Lonchura striata: one gene and its partners. The protein of the gene in region 2 purifies or fractionates together with the protein of the main gene of each other region. This does not show direct contact. Links are inferred from orthologs where the notes say so. Each region holds a gene or a part of one and is shown on either strand. Other genes may lie near its edges. The genes, in order: USP36, DGCR8 and SRPK2.

Region 1 (10,150 bases), on a different chromosome or scaffold from region 2:
CACTGCCGAGCCTGCACAGAGGGGTCACGGCTCACTTTCAGGCAACAGGCACTGCTCTGTGAGACAGGGAAGGAGGAGCAACAGCAGGAGCTACTTCCCTCCTGCCAGCACTGTCTGCAGGTTAAGAAGCCTCAGAGCAGGAACATTCCTCTCAAGAGCAAAGACCCCCAACCCCACAGCAGTACCTCAACCTCCAGTGTCATGTCCAAGAAAGGGTCATAGGTATCCGAGACAGTCTTGCACTCCAAGCATTTCACTGCAAAAGGAAGAGCCATGGGCACACCCTGGCACAACACCAGCACCTGCCACACCCCAGCACGGCACAGACAGCTGCAGTGTCCCCCAGTCCAGGTCTGGGCTCTAGGATGTCAGCACCAGGACTGACAGCTTTGCAGGGAGAAGGGCTGGCACATCCACTATGTGCTGGGGAAGAAGGTGTTGCCAGACAGCTGGGAACATGGCTCCTTTTGCTGATGGCAGTGAGCTACAGACCCCACAGCTTGGGCCCCACAGTCAATGGCTTTTCCCATTGCCACACCAGGGGTCATGACCCACAAGTGCTGCGGGACTGACCGACTGCAGCTCTGAATAAGTTAAACATGTAAGCCATTTTCCCAAAGGGTTTTACTGCCCAGGCCCAGACTGCTGGTACTCACCACGGGACCGCAGGTAACCACCAAAGATCTGGTGAACCAGAGTTGTGGCCTGGGTCTGGCGATCCAACCTACAGAGAGACAGCAGCACCATATCTCACACTGCAGCAGCCAGCCCTGTCGGACCAGTCAGGACAGCCCCCCTCCACGTGCTGGTCAGTGGCCGGGCTGTGGAGCCCCAGGGGAGGTGGGAAGTCACAGTCCCTGCCAGACTGCTCTCCCTGTGTCACAGCTGAGGGGTGGCACCAGGCTCCAACACACACCTTCCTCTCCAGAACACTGAAGCTCCTGGCTGGAGCTCAGAGCAAAGGCAGTGCTTCCCAGGACAAAGGGCTGGGGGGAAGCTGCCCTTCCACAGCCACAGAGTTGCGGCTAAACTAGCAAGTAGGCCTGTATCCCTCAGCAACTGGCATGCAACTCCAGCCTGTAGCAGCCTCAGGATTTGGGGGCAGGACTGCAGCTGTGCTGAGGTAGAGGAGTCAGAAGAAGATGAACAACAGCCCAGAGTCTTGTCCCTGAGGGGCAGAGAGTTGGACCCCACACCCGAGGCCCCTGGAGTCAGAACCTCCCCATAATAAGGCTGACCTGGGGCACATGTTCACTCCACAGTCCACTCCCGTGAGTGCAGGGGACCAGCAAGGGAACAGCAAAGAGCAGTGATGGGCCATCAGGCCCCACATACTTGGTGTAGCCATTCAGGCAGGCCTTCTGCATGGCATCGATGGTGTAACGCAGGAACTCGTGTGCATCCTCCTGCCTACCGAAGCGCAAGTTATGGGAAATCTCTGCAAGAGAGAGAGAGGACTCAGCATGTGCTGTAACAGATGCCATCCCTCCCTGCCTTCCCTGGGGCAAGAACTCCCTGGTTTGAGTCCCCTCAGCCCAAACCAGACATCAGACTCATGTCACAGAGGAAGACCCTGGCAGCCCAAGAAGTCTCCAGGCACTCCAAGGCTCCATGAGTCATCTCAGTGGAGCCGTTTCCCAAAACATGCCCCAATCCCAATAGTTCTGCTCCCACATTAGTCATGGTGGGGGGCAGCCCTCCTTACTCTTGAGGTCTCGGATGATGGAGAGTGGCTTTATTGCATTTCCACTGTTGGCAAAAGTCTGAATCATGTGGTTCTGCATAGTGCACATCATGCAGAAGCTTCCGTGGGCACCTGGAGCAGGAGAGACAACATGATGCTGAGGACAAAACCAGGAGAGATGGAGGCAGGACAGGGATCTCTGGTCCAGTACAGCCACATTCAGTTTTCCCTATGAGCTTGATGGGGATCAGCCCATTCTGGCAAAGCCCATCACAGGACCAGCCACGGTGGCTGCCCATAAGAGACAGCGTTCACACTGATAGAAAACAGGTCCCAGGTAAGCACTGGACAAGCCCATAGCTTGGCCCTGAGGGGCAGATCCCGTCGGCAGTCCTATGGACCGGGCTGCAAGGCCTGTGTGTTCTCTGTGGTGACAGCTCACAGCAGTGCCTGCCACGCTGCTCTTTTGCACTCCCCACAGTAAGGGGCTATTCAGGACCCCCCAGCTGAGCCCCCAAGAAGCCGGTAGGCCCCATTGGGCCCATCTTAGTCCTGGCTACACCCAGCAGAGACAAAGATGCCAAGCTTGGGAACGTTGCTATCTACGGCCAGGAAAAAGTGAGCAGGACCCAGGAACAGCCTCTTGACAGAGAAACAAGCAGAAAGGAACAGGGCAGGGAAGGTGCATCCTAATATCTGCACTCCCTCACTAGAGCCAGGCACACAGGTGCTGAGCGCAGCACTGTGAGCAGGTCAGGCAGATGCTGCTCGTCCCTCCCGGCCCCCTGAACCGGGGTCCCCACTCACAGGTGCGTCCGTGCTCCCGGGAGAGCAGGTAGTTGGTGAGTGGCGGCGTGTAGGTCAGGCACTGCAGCGCCGAGTTCAGGAAGCAGGTGTTGCCCAGGTTACTCAGCCCGGCGCCCACACGGTGAACCCGCTCCCACTTCATGGAGAGGCTCTGGGGTGGGAAGAGCACCTTCTGCGGCGTGGGGATCCCGTCACCCGCGGCCCTCGGCAGGGCATGGCTGTGTCCTGCGGGGAGCAGCGAGTCAGCCGGGGGCAGGAGCACGGAGGGGTCCCTTCACCCTCTCCACTTACCGGGGGGCTTCTGCCGCTCCGGAAGGGTGCCGGTGATGCCGAGGGGGCGGCCGAGGACCTCGGCCCCGATGTGCTCGTACTTGTCCCGCAGGTGCTCCAGCTGCCCGGCCAAGCCGCGGCGGGCGGGCGCGAACTCGATGCGCTGCTGCAGCACGGAGCGGGCGGCGGCGGCCAGCGGCCGGCCCAGCTCCGCCGCCGCCTCCCGCCGCGCCGGCTCCAGCGCCTGCCGCAGCTTCTCCGCGATCATCGCCGTGGGCGGCCGGCTCGGCGGGCCCGGCGGCCGCGGCTGCACAGAGGGCGGAAAGGGGTGGCTGAGCGGGGGGCCCTGGCCCGGCAAGGCCTGTCCTGTCCCGCTGCGCTCCGGCTCTCAGAGCAACCGGCCGCCGCCACGGCCCTCTCGGCGCGTCCCTCGGCCACCACGGGCACCGCAAACCCCCCGCCGCCACCCGCGACCCCGACCGCCGCCTCGGCCCCACCGCCGCCAAATGCGGCCCGGCCGCTCCCGGCGCTCCGCTCCCCACGGGCGGCCCCGCCGGCAGGGCAGAGGAGCGCGGCGGGACGGGGCGCAGGCCCCGGCGTCCCCGGGCCCGTCCCGCCCGGTCCCGGCAGCGCTCACCATCCGGGTCCCGCCGCACGCACGTGTCGCCACTCCGCCACTCGCCCGCCGCCGGCACAAACTCCTTCCGCGCCGGCCCCGCGGGGCGGCTCGCTCGGCGCAGCCCGGGGACGCGGGCGCTCCGCCCCTTGTTGGGAAGAGCCAAAGGAGACACGAGCTCCGCCCGCCCGCTGCGAGTCCCGGCGCGGACGGAGGCAGGACGGGGCTGCCGAGGCTAAGGCGGCCGGTAACGCCGCGGCCACAGCGGACGGTCCCACGAGGGGACGTTTCCACCCGGGACGGGCCACCATGCGGTACCCCGACCCCGCCCTCGTCCCTTGAGTCATAGTCCCGCCCCGGTCCCGGTCCCGTCGGATCCCGCCCGCATCCGGGGGTGGGCCCGCCTCAGCTCTTCCCCTCCCTGTCTCATTCCATTCCCTCCGGCCCCGCGTGGTTCGCTTCTCTCCGCCGCTGAGGAGGGCCGGGGGGGTCCCGGCCGAGCCGCCGCAGGTCCGAACCGGAGCAGCGGTCCTGCCCCTCTTCCCCCTTGAGCTCCCGGCACGGACCCTCTGCGGGTACCGAGGCGGCTCCAGCGCCGGACGAGGAGACGGAAATCACGGCACAGGGACGACACAGCCGGCGGCAAAACAAGTGGCGATATTGAAGTCAAAGACAGAGGAGCAGCAGCGACAGGAGCACAACGGGTACAGCCATACAGAGCGCCCGGGATGCGCGATCGGGACTGAGTAAAGGTTGGGGTTTTTTTCCTTTTTCTTTCTTTTTAATTTTTATCTTTAATATGTTGAAATTGCCCAGACTGGTCCAGTACGACATCTCAAAGCACAGCATGAAAACCCCACCGGCACAGGGCTGCAGGGAGCATTCCCGGCGCGCTCCCAAAGCCATGAGTGCACGTGCCAGTGCCGCGACAGCTCCGCGGCACACGCCAGCATTGCTGTGGCATGGGGATGGCTCAGAGAACTCGGGGCCGAGGGGTGTGAGGGGGTCACCGGAGGGGACAGGTTTTCCTGCAGCCGCCCTGCTGCCAGTTCCAGGCTCCACTCCTGACACCACGGAGAAGGGAGCTTGCCTGGCTGCAGTGGTGCTGAGTGCCACAGCATGGCCCAGATCTGCACGAGGTGATGATGGACACCCTGTGCCCATGCAGCCAGAGCTTCGGCCCCTGGTGCCCTGCCAAAGGTTCCAGGTCAAACCTGTCCAGTGGTGGCATCTGTAGAAGGATCTGTAGGAGGTTGCAGGGGAACGGAGACCCCTGGAGAGAGGACCATGTGGAGAGGCAACAGTGCATGGGTGTGTGTCAGGGGTCACCCCAGATATGCTAACATGCCCCTCCAGCTTTATGGAACAAGGCACCTGTGCAGGAGTCATCTGGCCCGCTGAAAGGCCCGGAGCCCCTTCCTGGGAGTTGTGCCACATGGTAAAGCCCCCCAGAGCCCCTGCCCAGAGGGGTGCCTTTCTGGCACCCTGAAGGGAGAGGTAGGTGGTGGGGGAAGGGGTACAGCAGGGTTGCCAGATGCTGCGGTGGGGAGGGCTGTGTATCTGGAGCTGTGGGGGAGGCTCTACAGCGGGGCACTGGTAGACCTGCTACGCAGCCAGGGCAGCTCCCACCACTCACAAGGGCTTGATTCCTTCACAGCTGCCAGAGCCAAGCATGGCTGGGGGATTGTGACCCTGGCAGGGAGGTCCCCACACCCTGCTCAGCCCTGCCACGAGCAAAGGATGCCCAGTGCAGCTGCGGGCTGCCAGGAGCCTGCAACAGAACGGGTCCCTGGCCCTGGCCCCCACACGTGTGGCAGCCACTGGGGCCCCCTGCAGCCAAGTGGATTTTCATGCTGTCTCCAGGATTTGATATCAGCGTGGACCAGTCTAACATCTCGCAGGTTTTTTCTACTGGCTACTGGAATGCGCTCGTTTGGCTTAGGGGTCCTCAATGTCGAGAAACTCTTGCTTGGGGGGGGCCATGCCGCGGTACCAGGCACATGAGCCGTCGCTCCTCTTGATGCAGGCGTAGTGCTTCGCCTGCCGCCCATCCACATTGTTCTTCTCCATGGCCCAGTCTGTCCACAGACACTCATCCGAGGAGGAGACGAAGCAGGGGATGGAGAGGCAGCGCGAGATCTGTGCATAACAGAGACTGTCACCCACCAGCCCGAGGGGGCAATGGGCCAGGGGGAGGCAGCATGCTCTGCTTCATCCAGCCCCCAGCTCTGGACAGGGATGCCAGGCTGACCCTGCCCTGTGGGGCATGGTGGGGATGCAACCCCAATGCAGGGAACTGGGCAACCCCTGGTTGCAAGTCCCAGGGCTGGCCTTGGTTCCCAGCTGGAGGAAGACAGAGGCAGGGCAGCCCTTCCTGTCTGCCCAGCCACATGCTGTGCATCCTCCAGGATGCACTGTCCTGTGTCTAGGACAGTGAAGAGCATCTCACTGTGGAGCCCACCCCTGCCTGGGGGCTGCAGACCCTCCCTGGTGTGGGGCAGGGGGCATGCGGGAGGCAGCCTGGTTGCTCACCTTGCACTCACAGCCCATCTGGTACCGCTGGTTTAGGCTCTTCTTCTGGGTTGGGGTCAGCGAGTCCCAGGTGGACACCAAGTCACAGAGCGTGATGTGCATCTTGCCATTGCCCTCTGACTTGCCTGGGGAGAGGCCAGACAGACCACTCAAGGAGATCCCGTGCTGACTCATGGTGCCTGGGGCCCCTCACTGTGCCCTATCCATGGTGACTCTGGGGAGCTGAGGCTTGTTCCCAGCTTGCCCCCACCATGGCCTGGGACTGCTGAGCACAGCCGGGACACAGCCAGGGGTTCCCCGAGGGCCAGTGGCTTGAGCAGGAGGGCAAGGGGAGAATGTGCCCAGGAAGCAGGCACACATCAGGCACCTTGCGGGGCACATGGGGCATCCAGGCCAGCACTGTCCCGACGCCCCCCGAGAGCCCTCCCCGGAGCACTCACCTGCGATGAGATACTCCTTCTTCCCGCCGGTGTCCAGCAGCCGGCCACACACGGCAGTGGATGGAGCCGTGTAGATGAACTCTATGTCCTGGTCAGGGCCCTTGAACATCTGGGAAGCAGAGGCAGGCATGAGTGGCTGGTGAAGGGGCCACCCCATGCCCCAGCCTCCTGACCCGATGTGCCCCATTACCTTGATCTGCTTGATTTCATACTGGATGCGTTTGATTGGATTCCCGTATATATCGTTCCCCGAATCCACCTCTTTTGCAGAGACAGCCTTGGCTCGGATCACTGGAAGGGAGAGGTGAGGTAAGGGGGTGACCAGTCCCTGCATCTCACACTGTCTCCCTCCTTCACAGGGGACTACTGCCTGCAGCAGACCCAACTGCCTGCCTGGCTGCCCCCAGAGCTGGCTGTCACCCGCTGTCCCCAAAGGGATGGAGCTCTGGTACGGGCAGGACAGTGACCAGCAGCATTGCAGCAGCAGCCTCAAGGCCATGATAAGGAAAGTTCATGAGAGGATCACCTGGCCCCAGGGCTGGTGAGGCTGTGGCACGGTGAGCCAGGGGACAGCTCTGCTGTGGCAGGGTCCCTGCGGTCATGCTGCTGCCACAGCTCAGGATGAGCGGTCTGGCATGTGAGTGCTCGGCACGTGGCAGTGACCTGCAGGGGCCAGGCAGGCAAGGCGGGCAGCCAGCTCAGCCTTGCTCACCGGCTGGGACATCGGGCTGGCTCATGCTGGGCAGGTTGCCTGGGTCCCTGCACTGGGAACTGCAGCCCCCAGTTGTGCTCAGCTCCCTCCATCAGTGCAGGGGCTGAAGCTCCCAGGCAGCACCAGGGATGCTGATGATGTAGGGGACAGTGGCAGTGCCAAAGCTAGAGCTCCTGCTCGGCACTCAGCGTATGGAGGGGGCCTGGCTGCAGGGCAGTGGCTGGCAGGGCTCCCTGCTCTGCCATGGGTACCCCCATCCAACAGAAGGGCAGCTCTCCACCCTGCAGGGCTCCCCCTGCCCTGCCAGCCCCCCGAGCACTGTGGGGCAGGGAACAGGGAGCTGGGCACTCTCACAGAGTTCATCCTGGTTCATGTCCCCACTGAAGGGTGCTGGGCTGGCAGCAGCCAGGGACATGCAGAGGTCACCCACTGCCTGGCACAGAGGAGCTTCTCCCACCTGGCATGGTCAGGAGAGGAAATCTGACCGCACTCTATAAATACTGCAGGCTGTGGGGGCACGCAGGCAGGCTATTTAAGCTGAAGGTCAGGGGGGCACAGCCCCACATGGGCACCAGCAAGTGTCAATACAGTTCACTCTGGAAAGGTGAGAGTGGCACCAACATGAACAGGGACCAGGGAAGAGGTTTCCCAAAATGGCCATCTCCCAGTCACAGGCAGCACTCATTCTGTGCAGGGCTGGGCGAAGCAATGGCCGCAGTGAGGGCTTTCCCAACTGCTCCCATCCCTTGGGAAGGGCTGGGCCATCCAGCCACAGTGACAGCACCTCAGCCATGCCTGGGGACAGCACCCACTCCTCTGTCAGCAGTGTGCTGGGATCACTACAGACACAAGCCACCCCTTGCCCCCGCGGCCACCATGGCTCCTGTGAGCCAAGCCCTGCGTGCCATCAGCGTAACTCGGGTGCAGCCAGTGCCGGCTCCCGTGTGGGGAATGGCTGCTGGTTCAGTGGGCTCCAGCCTTTCCATTCACGTGCTGATGAATCACTTGACAAAAATGCAGCCCGATTCTGGGTGGATTTGTTCTGAACAGTGCGGCTTTGTGGAGGGGACGACTGCGCTGTGCTTTCCCCGCCAAGACCCCGCAGCGCAGCCAAGCTGCTCCACACCCGCCAGGAACCAGGGCAGCAGAGGGAACCCTGAGGAGAGCCTGGGATGAGGAGGCTGAGCAAGGGATGGACCCCTGGGTGCCCAAGAACCAGTAGTCAGACCTCCCCAGACACCAATGCCCCCACTGGCCTTGTCACTCACCACTCCTGCTGCTGACGTGAGCAACCACCAGCCAGGGAGCCCAGACCCTCTCTGAAGATGAGCCAAGGCTCTCTGGCTCCTGGGGCACATGGCAGGCACAGCACACAGTTGGCTCTGCTTTACCAAGTTGGACCAGGGAAATGCAGGAAACACTCCTGCCCCAGGCAGGCCAAGCAAGAAGGTGCTCCATGGCAGCAGAGGGTCCCCTGGCAGAGTGGGATTCCCACTGGTGACATCTCCTGTGCGGGTCCCCAGGGCTGCCACTGTGGCCTCCCCACAGTGAGGACTCTGGACCCTGCAGGGACAGAGAGATCCTGCAAGGTAAGCATGTCCCTTGCTGCCCTCTGCCATCAGCATCATTTGGGGACATATAGATCACTTGTGGCACATCCAGTGCCATAAAACCACCAGGCTGTCTCTCTGGGCTTACTAGTGTTGGAATTTCTACTACATGGCCCCATGTAGGGCTACCCCACCTCAGGGCACCACTGTGCTTGCCTGTGCCCCATGGGAAGAAGAGCACCACAAGGACCCTTGGCCATGGGAACCCCTTTCTGGCCCAGGACTTGCAGAATTGCTGCCTCTTCCTCTGCTCTGCCGCCCCAAATCCCACCAAGCCACCCTGCCCACACGCATCCACAGCTGCCCGGGCAGCGCCAGTGCCCACGGACAGCAGGGGCCACTGCTAGGCTGGATGCCCAGAGAACAAAGCTCCCTTCTCCAGGGCAGCTGGCAGCAGAGGGGCTGGCTGCCAATGCCAGCACTGCCTGCTGCCTGCCTGGCACTGCCAGCCCGGGCACCTGACCTTGGTGAGGGCAGTCACTCCAGCCCTGCTTGAGGCCAGTGGAGATGGGGAGACAGCTAACCACCCTGGGAGGGATTCCTGCACCCAGCCCTGACCGGCGCAAGGGCAACAGCCACCTCCCAGGTGTTTGCTGGCATCCCAGTGCCCGCCCGCCCGCCAGCGGCCGCCGCGGCTGGCACCCCGCCCCGGCACAGTGGTGTGAGGATGCTGAGGCTGGAGGCGTGCAGGGCTGAGCAGCGCAGCCCGGCAGCGAGGAGGAAGCGAAGGCCGTGGAGACTCCCTGGTGGCCGGCAGTGCCTGCGGGGCGGCGAGAGGCAGCGCGGGCAGCAGGTCCCGCTCCCCGCCGGGCTGCGCGGGAGCCGCGGGCCGAGCGCCGCCGTGGCCGCGTGCGTCATCCCGGCCGCTGACGGGAGCTGATGGAGCCCAATCAGCGGCAGCCCCCGCCTCGGCCCACGGCCCCTCCGCGCCAGCGCTCGGCAGGGCGGCACCGGGCACGGGCACCGGGCACGGGCACCGGCACCGGCACCGGGCACCGGGCACCGGCACCGGGCACCGGCACCGGGCACCGGGCACGGGCACCGGCCCCGCCAGGCTCGGCGGGGTTTGCAGGCAGCTGCACCCCCGCGGGGACAGCTCCCACCACGGCCCTGCAAATCCCCTCCTCTGGCCGGTCCCTGCTGGCTGCTGGCAGCCCCCACACTCACCGTGCCCGTCCCGAGGAACCGAGCACAGGGACGACTGGGATCAGTGCAATCCAGCTGTCCCCAGCCCAGGCTGCACCGAGCCCCGCTCTCTCCTGGCCCCATCCTCTGCCTGCTGCCTCGCAGGGGCAAAGCCACAGCTTTGCCTAGAAGGGCTCAGCATCCCCCTCTCACACCCCACATCCCCACGCTGCTCCAGAAGAGATGGAGCAGGAGCTGGGTTTCCTGCTGTAGCACAACCGGGCAGCTGAGCATCTCCTGCAGCAAAGCAGCCCAAGAGAGCCTGGGCACAGCCCCAGTGAGGGATGGTGGATG
Region 2 (10,096 bases):
TTGCAATGAATCCACTGGAAAAAGGATACTGTACCTACAGTTAACAAAGAAAGTGTTTTATTTTTATAAAAGTATTTTTAATAATAAAAGGAATTTTAAATTTTAAATAATAAAAGGGAGTTTTAAAGGATATAAAGGAAAAAGGTGTATATAGGAAACTACTGCATGGCATTTTACTAAGTTTGCTTATGCATACCATTTCTTCAGTCATCCATTTGCAAGAGGTTTTTGTTTCCTGATTTTTTTCTATTGGAATGGTAGTGGAAGAACTTTTAAAATGTGTAAAACCTCAGCTATGTTTTTTGCTTAAAATTGTATCATAATTGTTGTTTACATGTGTGTTCAAAACTAGAATCAGAATAAAGTCAAGCTGGTGACCAGTCTTTGTTGGCATTAGTAGATTGTGCATTTTTTGCACATATGTTTTTGTTCATTTGCCTGTAATTTGGTGTGATACAATGAAGTAAAATCTTTAATGCCATATTAAGGATGAAGGAGCTGTAATTTAAGTTCTGTTTCTAGTACTTAATTTTAAGAGTGCTCTATTTTTTGCGGGGGGGTTTATATTCTTGTGGGTATTTCCTAATTCTGTGCTATTGTATGGTTGTCTTAGGTAAGAAACTGGAAAATATTTGAAAGATAGGAAAGAGCGAAATTAATGCTTCCTTAGGGGAAAGTGGAGCCTCACAAAATGCTGCTGGAGGATGGGGAATCCCTGTTCACTGTGGAAAAGGTCTGGATCCTTGGCAGACCTGAGACTCCTATTACACTGATTAGAGCTTGCATTAATGTTCTGCTGTACTGGCCCCTGCAGTGGAGGTGGAATTGTCTCATCTCCCTTGTAGCAGCTTAATAAAACACACCTGAACAGAGCAGAGGAGGAGTTGGGCCTTTGGAGTTCCTCTATGTTCAAAACTTCATTGATATTTATTGTTACAAGTGAAATACACCAAACTGAATAATTAAGATAAAATATTGATAAGACTTGAAACACTGTTTTTGTCATACTATAAGGAAATAACTAATTTTGGAATTAATCTATGCAATACTAAGCAGTAATAAGGCAATAATTAAAGTATCTCACATTTCAGTTTTAGCCTATAGAACTTAATGCACATTTATGGCTTAGCAAGTATCCCTATTTATATGGAATATTAGATAGTAGGAGTTAGGTTTTTTTCATTCAAATTGATGTAACAGGACATGGCTGATGTTCTTCATCTGATTCATTTTCTGCAGAGAAGTCTTGTTGATAGCTTCTAAGGATCTAGGAAATAGTCTTGACTTGGTGAAAATAGAATCAGTGCTGCAATCAGCTGGAGAGACATGAACTGTGAGAATTACAGAACCCATCAGTGTGACTCATGCTGCAAAATGTAGGTTAAGGTGAACAGACTGAAGAAATGTTGAATATGTTTCTCATATATATATATATATAAATTATCTGTGTAACATTGTGTATCAAGAACTTAGAAGCTGAATGAAAGCAAGCCAGTTGACATGCTCAAATTTACCCTGTCTTTTGAAATAGAAGACATAAGCACTGAACATAGGATCACAGATGAGGAAGAAATAATAAATATTATAATATTAAGCAGGATAGCCAAAAATGACAATGTATAAGTTATGCACAATATGAATAAGAAAAAAAGCAGTATCTCTGCTGATGCACATTAAATTGTCATGTCTTTGCACTAGAAAGATACATGGAGAAAAATTATTGAAACCTAAATGCAGATCAGAAGATGGAGAGAGGAAGGGGAAAACAGAGAATACAGAATGATACTCTTGGTTTGTGCTGCTGTTCTCTTTGAGGCCTCTGAGTGACAGTGCCTGCTAAGGCACTCAGGTGCTTTCCAGCTTCCCTCTGGTGATGCTGGAGTGTTTTCCATCGGTGTCTCTCCTGACACACAGAGCCAGCTCTGGTCAGTAACTTGCCCGACTGGGTAAACACATTGCTTGCTTCTGTTCAGTGGAGAAAACCACATCACTTTTCAGATGTGAATTAACATACATTAAATGATAAACTAGAAAATATGTGGGGCCAGTAGTGTCTCTTTTTGTGGTATGCCATTGTAATTAGTATTCAATGCTTGAGGTTTTTGCCCCTGTTAAAGGAATGTACTCTTGCAAGGAAAAGGTGAATGAGAAAGCTAGGCTTTTTTTTTCCTTTCCCTACGCTATATTTGCTGTCAATAGCTACTCAAAATAACTATGTAAAACCACATCTTAGTCAGATGCATTATCCATCTCCTGTTTCTTCTGTCTCACTGGTATGGCTGGGATTTAGAGAAGAATTAACTGTCCTCTCAGTTACAGATGGGTCTGCATTATCACCCTGGTTTGATTAGTGCCTTTACATAGTTTTCCTTGTTGATTGTCCCTGTTTACTGTGCCTTGGCTCACATTTCAGGGCAGCCTCAGGTGCCAGGGTCTAGGCTGGTTTCAGATGGAACAGAACAGGTGCTTGAGGAATGGACCAAGTGTTCTCCAACAGGTAATGATTTTAACCTGAGCAAAACTGTCTGAAATGCACCTTGCATGAAGATTTAAATTCTCTGCACCAATTATTTTGCTGCATAAATCTTCTTATGTTAGCCTCTTGTACTTCTGAATGTAGCATATATAGATGTGTTGTGTCAGTGTCTTTGCAATACAGCAGTTGCAAATTTTCTTCTTTTCTTTATCAATATATTATGCCAGTCAAGTCTGAGTTCTCTCTTGTAATGTGCATGAGTTTAGACTGGCAAAGCAATCCCAGGATGGCAGCTGCATTAAAAACAACCCTAGCAGCACAACTGTGCTCTCAGAACTGTAATTTATTTGGCCTCTGTCAGGGAAAACAAAGGTACTGACATTTATGGTTTTACTTCTATAAGTGCAACTACACCTGGATTTTTGACAGCCAGAGATTACGCTCCTGATTCATGTCTGTGTGCTGCCAGCAATGTAGAGACGAGTCCAGGCTGAGGGATTGCAGCAGCAGCTTCTTAGCTGTAGTTCACACAAAGTGTGTACAACCAAGTGTGCTTTGTTACCACAGCTTTGAGTTACAAACTTCATGGTGTATGATGGCTCACAAGAGAAACTACCATGCAACAGCAGCTGGGGTAGCCAGAATGCACAATGTGCATACAGCCATGAGGCTGACTCAGATGATGTTTCTTATTTTAAGTTGTAAAGAACAGATAAGTACTGCCTATTTCAGCACAGTGTTCTGAACTATTTGGATGACAGGACCTACAGAAATCAAAGTTTGAAGACTACTATTCTGTCCCACATAGATATTATTTCTGTTTCTCTAATATCCCCCCTAGATAAATTGAGTGTATTTTAAGAATGCAGAATCTTCAGCCATAGGAATAGGTTTGTGCTATGTATGAAGAATAACTAAGGGAAACCTCAGTCACTGTAGGATAACACTAGCCCAGGTGCAACTGGCAATTGAACAGAATGTTCCTTCTGCATGGCTTGTACAGCCCAGTTTGTAATGTGAAGGTCACTTGGTTTTGGTCTTATTTTTTCTTGTTTTAACTTCCAGATTTCAATGCAAAGCTGTTACTTTTTATTTGACCACTTAGACATCATATCACACTTTAAGCAATATTGTCTTTAGAAAAATGTCTGCATTATTGGGAAAATTCTGCCAGCAGTCTGAATTTTGGGAGAACCATTTGACTGAAGTATTTCCAACAGGAAAATCAGAAGTCATATGTGATTCTGTAGACAACACAATTTAGATTATGTTGAATCTGTCAATGTCAAGAGCAAGATTAGTAATTGTGTGGTATCCTTGAGCCAAAGACTCTGTCTACTTTGATTAGTTCTTTTAGCAATCAACCACCTCTTTTGACATTCAAGAACTTACCTGAGATTGCTCATTGGGTCCTTTTGACATCTCTCCATGGCTGTGATGTGTGACAGATTAGATTGAGGACAGCAGATTGCAGCAAGAAGCAAAAGACAAAGATATGTAATGCAAGCAGATACCAGTTTACCAATGCCCCCAAAAAAAAAGTGAAAAGCTGCAGTGCAACTTATTTTACTGAAATAAAAGTAATGAAGGCTGAGCAAAACTTGTCGTGCAGAAGCTTTTGCTGTTGAAACAGCACAGTATGTGCTGCAGTTACTGACATAGGAAGAATATGAAAAAGCCACTGGCTCCACCTAATTTTCGATCCAATGAATGCAGCCTGTTAACTTTATTGGGAAGCTCATAGTTCTGTCTTTACAGGCCTGATGGCTGTATTTTGTGTGAACAGCAGTAGTTTCTGTACAGCCTTCAATATCTTGTATATGAAAATCTCCTTGTAATTAGGAACTGGTTTTTTGTAGATAACACTTCATGGCATTATGGTTAATCCTGATCGCACCATGCAGGTGGACCTGTACACTTCTAATTCAAAAACTGAAGATTTTTGTGCATGCTTGACAAGTCTTCCATCAGAAGTCCAGGTGATGAAAATTTTCAGGTGAATTTTGCACCTTATTAGAGCAGATGAGAGCAGATGAAGTTTAATTCTTGAAGGGGTTTAAAAATTTAACTACAATTTGAGCATTTTTTGGATGAAAACATTGTTTTGTTAATAGATTATTATCCTTTTGTTTATAAAATTAGGGGTCTATTTCCTTGTAGAGTCTGTGTCTCAAAAAATCAGCTGTTGCACCATTAGTTTAAGACATACTCTTACAATTCTCTGAGAACAGATGCACAATGGAAAAACTAAATCTGTTTTTTTCATTTTTTAAACACTGCAGGCATTTTGATTCTCCAACTCTATACAAAAATCTCTCTGTGTGCCACATCTGATCCTAACTGAAGCACTGCTGTTCACATACATATAAAAAATATAACCTCTTTTCTGAAGTATGGGATCTTACTGCAGTAGTTCATTTATATGTCACATAAATGGGGTGTCAGTGAGTCACAAAACTTGAATTTTGGTAGGTCCTTTGAGAGGGACAGACTTCTGTACCAGTGTTAGCAATTTGAGGTGACCTGACACAGCAAATACCAGCATTAACTCAAGCTCTTTACTTAATTGTGAGATCTTTTTCCTCAGCTTTGACAGTTGAAGTGTGATGTGAGTGGCTGTTTTGCAACCTGTGGGTGTTTATGAAATGCACATTCTGAAGTGCTTTGTTTTAGCATTAATAAAAGCAGTCATAATTTAAAAATCACTAAAATAATGGTTTGAGTGCATAAGCCTGTTAGGAGGAATTAAAAATTAGAGACTGCTTTTAGTGGAAACTGCATTCAGTTTTTGAGGGCAGCTTGCAATGATTTAAAGCAGTTTTGGTAACCTGATCTTTGTGTTGACATGGTACCATGGTGTTATGTCCAAATTATCACCCTATCATTAGAAGTGTTGGTGCAGCAGGACACAAAGATGTAAAGACCTAACAGCAGTCTTCCAAGTAAGTTTTTAAAGTTTTATTAAAACATTAGTTATCTTTCATAGTAGTATTTGGGGACCTCAAAAACATGAGATCAGTCAAATACTAGAAAAAGACTTTCATATCCTGAAGTCACACATGAAACAAGCACAAACATACTATTGGTGATGAAATCAGGATCCATTATCACAGTATTTTGTCTGATGTTGATTTCCAACTAGTGAACAACAAAAGAAATAACCCTATAAATAAGTATATCAATAAAAGCTCTATATTGCTCGCAAATGATAAAATAATAGAGCAAACCAGGACAGCAAATGTTAACACTTTCGAAGTAATTTTACATAAATTATGTAAGGTATTTTCAATAATTATTTAGTAATACTGTCTAAACACTGCAGTCAGATTTGGGACTTGTTCTGTCAACTGCTTGGTACACAGAGCAGCAGAAACGCTCTACTTTGATTTATCCTTTTGAGGTAGATCAGCCTTGTAGTGATATTGTAGTTTTGTTCCTTAAAGATACAAAACAGCGTTTTCAGGGAAAAGTGGCTTTTTTTGTACGGGGGAAAAGGCCCCAGCGGTGCCCGGGCCACACAAAGGACCCGCCCGCCCCGCCGCGGCCCGGGCCTGTGAGGGCGGGCGTCTCTCGCGTTCCTATTGGCGGAGCGCGGTGACAGGCACGGGAAGGAGCCAATGGCAGCCGGGATTTCAAATCGGTGACCGCGTTCGCTACGGACGCCATTGGCTCGGCGCGCGCGGGGTCCCGCCCGCGGGCCGCGGAGGGGCCCAGCGCAGGCGTTTAAAGATGGCGGCAGCGCGGAGTGCGGGACGGCGATCGTGAGGCGGCCGGACTCGCCCTCACCCGCAGCCCCGGCACAGGAGCGGCGGGGCCGCCGGGGATGGCCCAGGTGGGTGCGGGCCCCGCGGGGTGACGGGCGGGGCGGGCCCGCGCGGGCGCCAACCCCTCCGCCCCACAGGCCGCAGCGCCAGCGGGCCCGCCGCGCTCCCGCCGCCGGCCCGGAGCGGCCCCCGGGCGCGGAGCCCGGAGCAGCCGCTCCCCGAGCACCGACGTCCCCAGCGCTGGAAGGCGCCGCCCTGCCCGCCGGGCATTGCCGTGCGGCGCGTCCCCTGCGCCCGGCCTGAGCGGCCTCTGCTCAGAGCTGGTGTTTGGTTTTGTTGGGGATTTTTCTTGTGTGATTTTGTGTTTTGGGGGACTTTTTTGTCGTTCCCCGCCTACCCTGCTCGCCTCGCCGTGGGATTGCGTTGGGGGTTGTGAAGGGAAGGCAAGGCCGTGCCTGTGCCCGCGGCCCCGCCTGGCCGGGCTGATGCGGGGCCGTGCCTCGGGGGTTCCGCCGCCCGCAGCCCTTTGTACGGGGCCGGGAGCGCGGCTCGGCCCCGCAGCGGAGTTGGGAAGAAAAGGCACGACGTGTGTGCGGGCAAACGGGCACTCCTTTAGTTCTGGTGCACTGAAGGTAACGTGATGTCTGGTAATTCTCAGCATTCTTCCTAATGTGTTCTTTTTATTAATAGTAAATTATCTCCTTCAATCTCTGTAAGGTTAATGCTCCCAACTTTCTTCATTTTTTTTAAATTTTTTTTTAATCTTTTTTTGGTTGGAAATAGTTCCTTCTTTTGTACCTCCTTTCCTTAAGCTTTGGGTTTGTCTGCAAAGTTTGTTTGCCTGCTGAGACCTGAATACCCAGGCGTTGCGCGACCATAAACTGGAATTGGGTGAACACATTCAGTTTTCTTTATTCCGTTAGAGGTCTTGGAACTAGATCTTTTTTGTTTTGTGATTTGAGAGATTGTTCTGTTTGGGTAATTAAACTTGGGGGCTCCTATTTTTAATTCTGGATGAGGAGTTGGGTCGCTAGGCACCGCCTTCTGATTATCAAGGTTGTTTTGCTTCTTTAGAGAAAGAGAAGGGGTTTTGGTTCCTTATGTCTGTTGTTTTTCTTTTCAAGTAAGAAGCTTACATATAATGGGAAAGGAAGACTATATTTTCTGTTTTCTAGGCTCTGATTTTCGTCTTTTGTAAATCAATTTCTTGTCTTACATAATTAATCAAGCCATCTAAATCATGCCAGAACACTGCTCAAGCTCTAAAAGCAACTGTTGTTTTGCCGTTTCTGAGGATAGCTTTCCAAAATTATGTTCTCTGTTCGTTCTGAAATGGAATGAAGTGTTAGGAACTAGAGAAGTTACTGAGCCTTGTCTGTATTTGCACTGATAATATGATTGTTGGGTTCTGGCTCCATTTTCTTAACCATCCTTGGTTAACTGACTTGCACAAAGTGCTTGTTTCTTTCAGAATCTTTCTACACTACAGCTCATAATAAGGAGAACTGAATTCTTACATGTAGTATTATCTTAAAGCACATTTTCTTTTGGTATTTTCTGTTCTGGTTTAAAGAAAATAAATTCTGTCTCTTCAGGTTTTGTTTTGGATTTGTGGGTTTTCTTTTTAGCAGTGGTAATAAATAGGATTAACTTATTTCTAGAGTTGTATGTGTTGAAAAGACACATTAGGTATTCATAAAAAGAAGGTAGATGACTGAGAGTGGGAAATTAATTTGATATAGGTTAATGGATCAGCACCTGAGTTGCCATTTAGGGCTGGAGGATGAGGCGGAGGATTTGTATTTGGTTAGCAAATAAGGAGAGTTTCCTTTGAGCCACTCTTCATTTTGGGGTTCACTGAATGTGAAGTGAGCAGTCTCTGACACAGTTTCTTTTCAAAAGTGACTTTTTGAAGAGAGAATTTGTGGTATGCTGTTCCTTGCTGCAGCTACGTGTATTAGTAAAGAAAATATGTTCTTTATTAAATTCTTTTCTAGACTGCTGATCTGCTGTTACAGAAAGGAATTTTTCTTTGCGTTTGGGTGATGCTAAAATTTCCAAATTTTAAGATTCTGGGGTTCTTTTCTGTCTTGAAAAAGGATACCCTTTTTTCTTTGTGTTTTTTCTCCCTTTCCTTTTTTGTCTGATTGTGGGACTGGGCAGTGGTACTTACTAAGCAAAGTAGATTTGGTTTTTTCCTTTTGGCATTTAAAGGACATCTGTAAGACAATGAGGCTAAGATTACTCTGCTTTCTTTGGGACCTGTGCAGTTTGCTATATTACATTTATATGCTCCCCAGTATCTGCATTGTTTAGTTTACTTTGTGGCATGAAACTTTTTTAAACGATTAGCTAAAGTAAGAGTAAGGAGTTAAAATTGTGGAAATTCCATGTGCTTGTAATCTGCAGAACATGAGCTGTGCACTCACATTTTCAGTGTTTGTACTGCCTGCTGCAGCTGCCAGTGGTGTTTGTCTCTTCGGAAGGAATGAATCCTTATGGAAATAGTTAATGGAACTTCGTGGAGCCTTGGAGAATAAAATGTTATTTCAGGACAATTCCGTGAAGAATCACAAAAGGAAACTGACTTATGTTATGATGTAACTTGGTATGCTGAGCCTTTTTGTGTGTGGCTGTTATATTCCCTTTTCTAAGGCACATTTGGCTGTTTGTTACCTACAAGCTCATCTAACTCATCCTTTTGCCTTTTCTCCCTTCTGTCTCTTCAAATACCTGATAGCTCAGTGGTTTTGTTGCTTTGTTTTTGTTTTTTTTTTTTGGGGTTTTTTTTTTTTTGTTGTTGTTGTTTTTTTCTTTCCCAGCCCCTGATATAAAGGGCATATTGTAATGTCAGCTGGCAGGGAAGTAGATGGGAATTGGACTTGTGTTCCACTTGTTCTGCCTTGCTTTTTGTGGCTTTTAGGCAGGTATTGTAACCCACTGTAACTGTAGAGCTACTGTTACCTATACTCAAAAGAGAGAAAAAAACCCTTGCAACAGTGTTAGAATAGTAACAACAGACCTTTCTTTGGAAACCTCCAGGTGTCTGGTCATGATGGCACACCTGGCACCAGATTTCTGCTATTATAAGGTTAATTAATTAGGGTATCTAACAGGTACACCCAGGAGATTCAGTTGCCCTTGTAACCCATCCCTGGGTCCAAGGGGTCTCTGCCCACTTCTTATTATGTCTTATTGTAGGTCCCCTGCTTAGAATAAGACTAAACAATATACCAGGAATGTGTTTAGAAGGTCTTATTGCTCTAAAGTCTAAGTGGGAAAAGTACCAGAGTTAATTAAGGAGCTATATAACTCTATAGTAGTAGTCTACAGAGCTGCAAATATATGAAAAACATATAAAAAGCAAAAATCTTTTTGGCATTACTACCAGCCTGTTATTTTACCCTAGAGATGTGGCAGGTTCATGGCTAGAAATGGAAAAAGCTCATTTGAACCCATTTTGGTCTAGTACTTTTCCTGAGCCAGTGTGTGCTGAGGAGCAGAAAATCCCTGGCTGTCATTTGCTGTTCATCGTTCAGCTATTCATGGTTTCACAGCCAGCAAGAAAGGGAAGACAACAAGAATATAATTGTTACCAGTGCTTGAATAGAATAACAAGACATCTTTCCTGCAAAGAGCAGAGATGTTGTATCAGTGAACTGCCTGAGCTGGGCAGGTAAAGGTTAAGTATTATTTTGACATTGGTGGTGGTAAAACCCTTCAGCATAGGAGCAGGACATGTATCGGGGGTCTGGAAGTGGCATTGAGGATCATGTCGTAGCCTTGTCAAAACTAAGTCTTTGTCAGGATGAGGAAGCTCCTTGAACACAAGGGAAGGGTTTGCTCTTTCAAATTC
Region 3 (9,592 bases), on a different chromosome or scaffold from region 2:
ATGCACCCAAACACAATAGTTTCTAAAAGCAGAGTTCATCCTAAGAGGTGCATTACTGGGGAAGACAGTGGACACAGGAAGACTGCTATCGAAGTTCTGCCAACTTCAAATAGGACCATCCCTCTTACACTTACCATATGCTGTAACTGTTAACAGATTAAAAGTGAAAAATGAGATAACAAGAATAAGGGCTATAGAGAAGGGGAAAAATAAAAGCCTTTCTAGGAAAACCAGGAAGCAAGAGTTATCACTTCAAATATATGAAGGATGAGACAAACAGTACTTTAAAGATACAAACACTGGGAATTCTAATGACAGGTAAAGAGACAACTTTTTGTTTCTTCAACTATTAATATTTTTAATTTTCTTTTTAAACAAGCCAGTAAAACAATGCCCATTCCCAAAGTCCCTATAGGCAATTAGAACAGAATTAGTTATTGATTATTATAGACTAGATTGCAAAGATAAAAGTTTGGTAAAATCACAACAAAAGCAATTACTACTAAAAGGGAAGGGATAAATTATTAATGCAATTGCTATATAACTACATTTTCATTTTATCATTTCATTTTCTTCAGTAGAGAACTGAGGTCACCTTATTCCCTTTCATTAGATATTAGCATAACTTTGACTTCTCTCTTCTGAATCTTTTCTAATCCTCCTCTTTAAAAGCTTTTAAAAATTTAACATTAGCTTCTCTGACATTCTTCAGTAAATCATCCCAAGAGTAAAAAACACAGCTAACAACTTCACAAATGTTACACTTGAGGGGCAGATAAAAGACCCTGCAGACTGTGTGAGTGTACAGCCACTCATACAGAAGGACCAAGAGCTACATCCTTAGCCTCTGGTCAGCACCCAGAATACATTCAGTCAGTATTCATGGGAACAGGAACTACCTCATAGATGCTTCTTCTAAGAAAAAAAAAAACTGAAAGAGGCTGAAAAACACTGTGGTAGAGAAAGAATAACAAACAATAGCAGTGCATGACTTTTACTCATTTAAGATCCCATAATAATGTAACATATCCTAAACCTTGTTAGCTATACAATACTTGTAGGTTCATGAAGTTAGACATCTGGAAGTGCACAGTGCAGAAATCTGGCACTTGCCATGTTAGCCAACACGGATGTACTGCACCACTGCAAAGCAGTATCACATGGTCTGTTCGCCTGCTCTAAAGTACTGCTTAAAAACAAAACCAAAATCAGTCTTGGTATCTGATTTATACATTTGCCTCAAAATATACATAATCGTCTCTCCATAGGTTTACACACCATCATCTAGGTTTTTTTTTTTACTTACCAAATGCTTTCTTTTAACTTTGGATAAAGTTAAAAGGTACAGGTGACATGCAAATGAGGACAACTCTAACTGTATATTCACTTTGTTTTTGTCACATTCACTTAAAATAAAGTCAAGCAAAAAAACATATCCAAGGTAGAAGTTTACACAAGGTGAGGCCTATACTACTCTGAACATAAAGAGCCTACCATTCTGCTAAATGGAAAAGGCAGATGTGTCTGAGGCTGTCTGCTAGCACTAAGTGAAGGACAGTAAACAGGTCTGTCTGCCTATAAGCAAGTGTATCTCTCAACAGACTCAGACATCTGTCAAAATCACTATTTCACAGACCCTTCTCAATGCAGACCTCCACTTTAAGGAGAAATAAATGGCAGAGGACTCAAATTAACAATTTTGATTAATCTTTTTAATCTTTTGTCCAGCTGAAAAAATACATTAGTAGTTTGCACACACTGCATACAAATTCATCTATTACAACCAAAATCAAGTGCTAATTTATCATAATACAGTGAGATACTCTATTTCAGTAGCCTGAATGTTTGATTTCAAAGTAAAGCCATACTAAGTAAATTTTACTATTACATGTAACTGTAGCACACTTAGCTTCCATTTTCTTTTCTTTTTCATCCTACTGAAAAAAAATAAAAAAACAAAAAAAAAACACCAAAAAATACAGATTCACCTCCACCAGTTCTCTTCACTGACTTAGGGGGTCAACACTGAGCAGTTACAGGACCAATCTTACAGCCTTCTTTGGCAAATAAGGTCATAACAGACAAAAAGCTACTCAGAGTACTGCAGTTTTTTCTTCTTATGTCATCACCTTAATACTCTTGAAACAAAAGCCTGCAAGTAAGCTACAATACCATATAACTCTCCTAGCCAATTTTACAAGGGGAGTCCTGCAGTTCTCTTTGAAACACATTGTTAACAGCAACAATGGAAGTTATTCCATAAAGCTTTGACCTGGCAGAGAAAAGTTTTCCTAAGAACCACAGTTAAGAAAAAAAAACAACTGCTTTGGATTCAAGGCTAAGTCACAATTTTCCTGTAGTGAACAAGTTCACTACAGGGAACTTACTCCACCCCTCAAATAAGCATTTTCATTTGCAGATACTGTGCATTTGATGTGCATCACAGGTACCATATACCTCTAAACTACTAGAATATGCTGTAGCAGTTGAATTTGAAGTAAGACCAGGAAGAGGACAAAAGAGACACTGGTTTTACTTTGGGAGCCTCAAATATTTGCAAGGAGACTTAAAAACTTGATAGGAGTTTCGCTTTCATACACAAGCATGAAACAAAGTAGGTTGTCTCCAGAGCATAGAAGTGGTTTGAAGAGACAACATACATATCAGAAGAGAAAAGATGGCTCTTGTCAACTACAGCAAAACCACTTGTTTCATAAGGCAACTGATCGGATTGGAGCATTGCGTCTGGAAATGCCAACTCAGCCAGGCAAATGGCCAGATCCTGACTGTGCACCCCGACTTAACAGTAGCCAGTTTCTTCAGCAAACACAAAGACTACCAGTTCTGCACTTATTGTCTGTGAAAGCAAACTTTTAACAAACTCATTCAGCAAAACATCCCACTTAGGTCCCCTAAAAAGTGTATTAAATGCTCTATCACCTAATAATAGAAGTTTATTAACAACCTTGTGGTTAAGACTTAACTGAAAGCTTCAAAAATAACACTGAACCTAGAGCTACAATGAAATTTAACCTATTTCCATGTTCAATCCAGCAAAAGACAAATGCACGTAACATTACAATCTGAAGGTTTTTGAAAACAAGGGAATCAATTCCTGCATATCTTACACATAACATTTGTTGCCATTGCAGTAACTCCAAATTCAAACAACTGAAAGCATAATACAGCTTTTACACAATGCTGGAGGAAACACCACTAGTGGAACAGGATGTGAACAAAGTTAGGTGTCGAAGTCTAATCGCACTACACCAGCACCTCCACCTCATCTATTTTTACCCATCCTAAAGGGGAGAATAGCACCCATTCATTGTAACTAGCAAAAAAAAAAAAGGCAAATCAAATACTTCACAGTCAGAGATATATTATTTCTTCCAGCAGACATCACAAAAAGACCTTGCCTCTTGAATCATTTGCCATAGCACACAACAGCATGTCCCCCCACCACATATCTATCCATCCATCCATCCACCATGCACTGCTTCCCAGCTCTAAGAACAGCCAGCTAGGAAGAGAGGGAATTGAGTGACATCAGGACGTATTTCCTTGTCAGAACAAAGCAGGTAGACTGGATCCCTAAGTAATGAAAACAAAGACAAGAGCCTACTGGCAACTTAACGAGTCACCAATAAAGTCCACTGAACAAAACAAGTGAACGTTAGTAACAGAAGCATGGAATCCTTCAAGGACAAAAAATTAAACAGTCCAAAGCCACACTGTCCTAGGAAATACTAAGGTGTAATAAACACTAAAGAGATGGAAGAATGTTCCCATGTGGTTCAGTGAAAAGTATAATGAGAAAAGATCAACTAGACAGTGACAAGAACATGAAGGGCTTGCAGAAGACAAGGGGAAAACAGAGAACAACCTCTGTTCTTATATCTGTAGAATTAACAGAAACTTAAAACAAGCCAAAGAGATACCAGTATCAGCATCGTTGGCTATTAGACACATCTGGGAAAGGGAAATAGTCTGATGGTACCGAGAAGGATGCAAAAAGGACTGCCTGTAGATGGGACAGCGATACAGAAAGAAACCTCGGAATAGACAGCACTGGAAAAGGAGATCAAAAAGATGAGAGAACTGGAGGGAGAACGAAGAGGAACACGTGGGCTGGCAGATCCCCGACAAACCGGGGGTTTCTCAGGGCCGGCGGCCGGAGTGCCGGGCGCGGGTTCCCACGGGGCACCGGCAGCCCTGCCCGAAGGATGCTGAGCCCGGCGCCCGGGCAGGGGACGGTCCCCGCCCGGCCGTGGCGACATCCCCCGGCCCGGGCGGGGGCTGTGCCCTGCGGGGGAGCCGCCGGTGCCCCGCGGGCGGCGGGACCGGGCAGCCGGGACGGCCCGCGGGGGCCACGGGCGCCGGCAGCGACGCGCAGACAACGGAGGGGTCGCGGGGAGAGGCTCCGTCCCGGCGGGTCGGGGGTCCCCGTACTCACTTTTTGTGGGGCGCCGAGTGCTTGTCCCTCCGGCCAGCCGCCGCGGACTGCTTGGGCCGCCGCCTGCGGGCCTGCAGGGCCAGCACTGCCGGGAGAAGAGAATAGCCGGGACCCGGCGTGAGCAGCGGCGGCGGCGGCGGCCGCGCAGCCCCCCGCTCCCGCCCTCCCGCCCGGCACAGCGCGGTACCTTTGCGCGAGTTCATCGCCCCGCGCCGCGCGCTGCTCGGCGGGCGCGCCGCTGCCCGGCCCCGCGCCCGGCCCCGCGTCCGGCTCCTCTCCCGGCCCCGCCGCCAGCCGCGACCGCGCGCCGGGCACCGTCCGGCAGCATCGGCACCGCCACCGCCGCCCCGCGCCGCCGCCGCTGCGCAGGCGCGGGCGAGCCGCGGGGCCGCGGCCGGAAAGGCGCGGGCGGGGCGGGGCGGGGCGCGGCAGGTGGCGGCGGGCGGGCGCACCTGAGGCGGGACGGCCCCGCCTGAGGCGGGAGCGGCCCCGCGGCCGACGTGGGGCTTTGTCGGGCGGTCGAGCCAAAGGGGAATTAATTTTGCCAAGTTTTGGGTCGTGACCGGAGTAGCGGGGCCATCCGCCCTGTTGCCGTGCCGCATTGGGAGCTGCGGGAAGGGCAGAGGAGAGAGGAGTCGGGCTCTCCACGGCAGCAGCTGGGACGAGATCAGCTTTAGCTTGTCCCGAAACCTGTGTGGGGTGAGATGCCAGAACCAATTATCGTCGTGGCCAAATCCAGGGAAATTAGATTTCCTTAATTCTGATTCTCACTAAGTTGTTTGATTATCATGACGAACAACTCTTGGCAATTGTTTTTTTTCCTGCCAAGGGCATCTTGTTGCCCATGGTACCAGGCACTGCTCAGATTTGGCATAGTAATGACCCGTCAATGGCCCAGTGAACACCGTCCCTTCTTACTTCAGCTGTGCACAGCATAGCTCAGTGCTTGACAGTGTTATGACTGAAATCTTGTGCCATCTATACCTTAATGCCTGGGGCCCGCTATGATCTGGGTCATATCCAAAGCTCCAGTCTAAGAGTGAGGCTTGTCTGGCTTATCTTCACATGGCAGTGGAATTCCAAGGCATGGTAACTGAAAGGTAACGGGGTATGGTCATTAAATTTTGAGACAGAACTGCCTCCCTAAGTGGCAACACAAGGAATCCGTAAGGATGAAGATCCTAAAAGCAGCTATAGTCAAGGCATTATGAGAGTGAAGGGAACTAGCAGTAATTGCTGGTCTTTAAGTAATTGGATCGAGATTTCATTTAGACAGAAAATTGAATCCGTAGGTCTGGTTAGTTCAGCTTAGGAGGGAGAGAGCCACAGAAGCATAAAGCTAGACAGCCCAAAAAGGAGGCACTACACTGTATAATGCTTTTTTGTCTAACTAGAGAGCCTGGTGAACAGAAAACAATAGGACCATGAAGTTTCTAAACTGCAGCTCTCATGAGGCACCCAGCTGCATTTCTAAATTAAAACATTTTCTGTGTCCCATCCTCCATCATAAAAGAACACAGGAAATAAACATTTTTAGTATAAACTGCTACCAGCAATATGCACTACTGGTCGGTTACATTTCTCCCTTACTGTAGTTAATCTTTTAGTTCAGTGTGATAGGTAACCAAAGACTTTATTGAAATTTTGAAGATTTTCTGCCAAGAAAGTTTAGGTGCATGAAAATTAATAATAGCTGAATGTTAAGAAAGCAGATTATGTATTTACTCATTATTTCCAGGCTAATTTTAATTTCACTGGTTAAATGGTGTGTCTGCATGAATACTTCTTCTTGTGTAGTGAATAATAGAGAAGAGCAGCTGATGACGGAGAAAACAATAAGACTTGCTTGTTTTCTTTGTCAGAGCAGTGTTGCATTAAAATTATCTTGTAGCTATGGTTCTAGAGCAGAAACCATACCAGGGTCTTTGTCATCTTTTCAGCAACTTGTGTGCCATTCTATTTGCTTTACCTGGAGTTTTATATGTAGAACTGATTGGACAATTGAGTCTTAGATAAGTACAGGGAGCTTTGCTTACATCAACAGGATTATAAATCCACTAGATCTGGAGTCAGGAAGGAATTTCCCTCATGAGCATAATGTCAGTAACATAATCAGGGCAAGGGAACAATCTGCCAGCACACAGAGAAAGGATTTGTTCGAACCAGGTGGGTGTCTACTACGCACACAATTTCATTCTGTTCTAGTGGAAACATATTTTGGGACTGCATTTTATTGGGGTTTTGTTGTTTTCTTTCTCCGCAACCCTGTCAAGCATAACTCAGAGGATGATCATGCAGAAGTGCATGATCAAAAATCACTGAGACTCTCTATGTATGTATAGAGGATTACCATGTGCAATTAACTGACTGGAGAGTAAATTAAGGTCAGTAGAGACTAAACATATTTCAGAAAATGAAAAAACAAAAACCAACAGCCCCCACCCTATTTCTCAGACTCAAGAGAATAACTCCCTGAGAACACAAATAGCAAATGAAATTCTACAAAATTACAAGAATAATTTTATTTATATGCTTGTTAAGAAGGAGTCTATCCTGTTTATTTGATTTCACTCATTTCAGGGAATTTTTCCATCTTTATTTAAATATACATTTTCTTCAAAAGGAAATGATGAGTCAAGAGAGAAGACAGGCTAAATAGCGAAGTGCAGCTTTTGCAAAATCAGTGTACAACATAAAGGTGGACTGAGCCAGAATATATCTGCCAGTCTCTCTCTGAACACTTTATGGGAACAGGTGTCTGTTTCGTTGCAGGAATTACCATAGAGCTCATTCACTCAGGGGAAAGGCACTGTGAGGTTCAGGTGATATAACCTATGCAGAAGGGAGACACAACAACAGATTTAGGTGATCTTAGCTGCAAACATCAGGAGACAAGAAGAATTAAGTATCAAATTATGGAATGGTATTTTTGCCTGTCTAAAATATAGCTTGGATCTGATACCTACAGATGTTTGGTTTGTTTCATTTTGACCTAGCTTTGAAATATTCCCTTACATATGAAGACTAACTTTTGTACAGAATAAGAAGTTACCTAGCAGCAGTCCTCTAAACATGATACTGTCATCTATCTGAGAATAACTGAAAGCACTTCCTTCAGCAGAGGGATGTTAGAAAATTTTGCCCTGATTTCTGTACCTCTTCCTTTTAGCACTGCTTTTCCCACTCTGTAGTAGCATGGGCTCATATTCTTATTTCTGTGCTTCTCAGAAATCAGGATATGAGCCAACTTCATGCTGCTCTTGCACAGAATGGAACACACATGAAATAACACATAAGGCAGAGGAAGGAAAAAACCCAACAAAATTATAAGTGGTGGAAAAAGAAAAATGTAGTGAAAGGAAATTCCCAATTACAGGCGAGCTCTCATTAATATGCAAGTCCAGCCTTCTCATCCTCTCGCCTTTCATTGTTGTCTCTTGTTCCTTCAGTTCCCACCCCCACTCTGCATTTCTTTAAGTATGACACACCCAAGTAGGAATACAAACAATGAGTCTGTCCTTCTCTTGCTCATTTTAACAATTTTCTATCTACCAAAGTGTTTTTTCCTTCTCTAGTATGTAAACAAAGCAAAGAGGACAATTCTCAGCTTGGTTTTGAGCAACAGAGACAACAAATTTACAGATAGGAAGGATTAAGCAACAGTAGCTAAGTAGCTGAGTTTCTTGTAAGGTCAAAACTATTGGCTCATCAGTGCCTAAGTATAACCAGTTAATATTAATAGGAGCATTGCACAAGTTAAACAATAAAAGTAGTCTATTATCTCAGTAGTGTAATGAGAAAAAATAGCAGGAAGCATGAGTTGGGATTTCCAAAAAAAATAGGAGGTCAGAAATTCCTTAGTTTAGATTCCTGGCTCATTCACTGATTCATTGTGCCCTTCCTAAAGCAAATTACATGACTCACCTGACTAATTTTCTTCATCTATAAAATAGTACAGTGCATGCCAGCTACATAGAGTTTACATTGGTAGAGAACTCTTGTTTATCAAGTTCATTTGGATTACTAATAAAAGAAGAAAGACATAAAGGACAAAGCAGACCGGTTTAACACCAATTTGACATGAAATTAAAGACTAACCTGTGCCCAGAAATAGCTGCATCAACCCAGATATGTATTAAATGTTGTTTAAAATAGGGCATGAACTGGCATGACTTAGACCTGAAATAGAATTAAAACAGACTGGCAATATTTTTATGAAAATATTTCTTCTAGTGTTGAAGCACACAGGTTTTCAGAATGACTCATTCTAGCTTCCCCCATTACTTCCAGCAGACTCCCAAACACCTCTTCAATTAAACTTCCTCCAGTTTCTTGGGTCCTTGTCTAAAATTTCCTCATTAGACTCCACTCCTGGTTCCCAGCTCTTTACCCAGCTTGCCCTTCTCATCTTGACCTGCATCATCTCCTTTTTCAAATAGATTATCCTTTTTTTTTCATTCTTTTTTAATTGGATGGTTTCTTCCTTCATGTTGATTAGAAGTCAGCAAGGCAAGAAAGGATCACTGAAGGATTAGCAACTGCTCTCAGTTTTCTGTTCAACCTAGACACAAGCATTTATAGCAGAAGTTTCTCAGCAGAAATGCAGTGGTATTTTGGATTCAGTCCTACAACTTCTTTCTGATTGGCAGCTATGCAGTCTGGTCATGCATGTGAGAGATTCATCTGCTAAGTAAGCGTGGAATATTTTCAAACTTAATTATTAAACACTCACATGCCTCCAACATGCGGAAAATGCTGTTTTATGAAGTCTCATAATTCGCCCACATTAAAGCAGATTTTCCTAAGGATTTCAATTGCACATCTTTGATATTCAGGCCTTTTTCTATGAAATCTCAGCCTCCTACTCAAAGGTAGGGATTGCCAACAAACGAGATGAGAATCCATTAGAAATCAGGTGCAGGGCTTACCCTGTTTCCCTTTCTCTTGACTTGGACTACACAAATAGTCACAATGAAAACAATAAGGGACAAGCCATAAGCTTAAACGTAATGTAAGAGGAATCAATGGACTCATTTTCTCTGGAAGAATAAAGCTTCTTTCTTCCCTGTAACCTCCCCTGTACTTTTACTTTATACAAGATGTTTTCACAGCCTTCAGAAAAATCAGACACCAGCT

What was found.
Region 1: the proteins of DGCR8 (region 2) and USP36 purify together in Homo sapiens (affinity purification with western blotting; 3 studies listed by BioGRID, with this or other methods). This does not show direct contact. The link is inferred for Lonchura striata from reciprocal best matches to the Homo sapiens genes DGCR8 and USP36.
Region 3: the proteins of DGCR8 (region 2) and SRPK2 purify together in Homo sapiens (affinity purification with mass spectrometry; 3 studies listed by BioGRID and IntAct, with this or other methods). This does not show direct contact. The link is inferred for Lonchura striata from reciprocal best matches to the Homo sapiens genes DGCR8 and SRPK2.

What each region holds. Positions count from the first base shown.
Region 1 is NC_134621.1:11,754,948-11,765,097, reverse strand, and holds the start of USP36 (ubiquitin carboxyl-terminal hydrolase 36), read right to left. Parts: upstream 3,725-10,150; coding exon 3,422-3,724; intron 3,069-3,421; coding exon 2,779-3,068; intron 2,710-2,778; coding exon 2,492-2,709; intron 1,817-2,491; coding exon 1,706-1,816; intron 1,439-1,705; coding exon 1,336-1,438; intron 725-1,335; coding exon 657-724; intron 257-656; coding exon 186-256; intron 1-185. Other genes in the region: TIMP2 (metalloproteinase inhibitor 2), read right to left, coding at 5,316-5,516, 5,910-6,034, 6,350-6,458, 6,540-6,640. UniProt on the Homo sapiens protein: Deubiquitinase essential for the regulation of nucleolar structure and function. Required for cell and organism viability.
Region 2 is NC_134620.1:8,228,753-8,238,848, forward strand, and holds the start of DGCR8 (microprocessor complex subunit DGCR8), read left to right. Parts: upstream 1-6,167; 5' UTR 6,168-6,308; intron 6,309-10,096.
Region 3 is NC_134607.1:59,972,047-59,981,638, reverse strand, and holds the start of SRPK2 (SRSF protein kinase 2), read right to left. Parts: upstream 4,675-9,592; 5' UTR 4,660-4,674; coding exon 4,644-4,659; intron 4,542-4,643; coding exon 4,457-4,541; intron 1-4,456. UniProt on the Homo sapiens protein: Serine/arginine-rich protein-specific kinase which specifically phosphorylates its substrates at serine residues located in regions rich in arginine/serine dipeptides, known as RS domains and is involved in the phosphorylation of SR splicing factors and the regulation of splicing.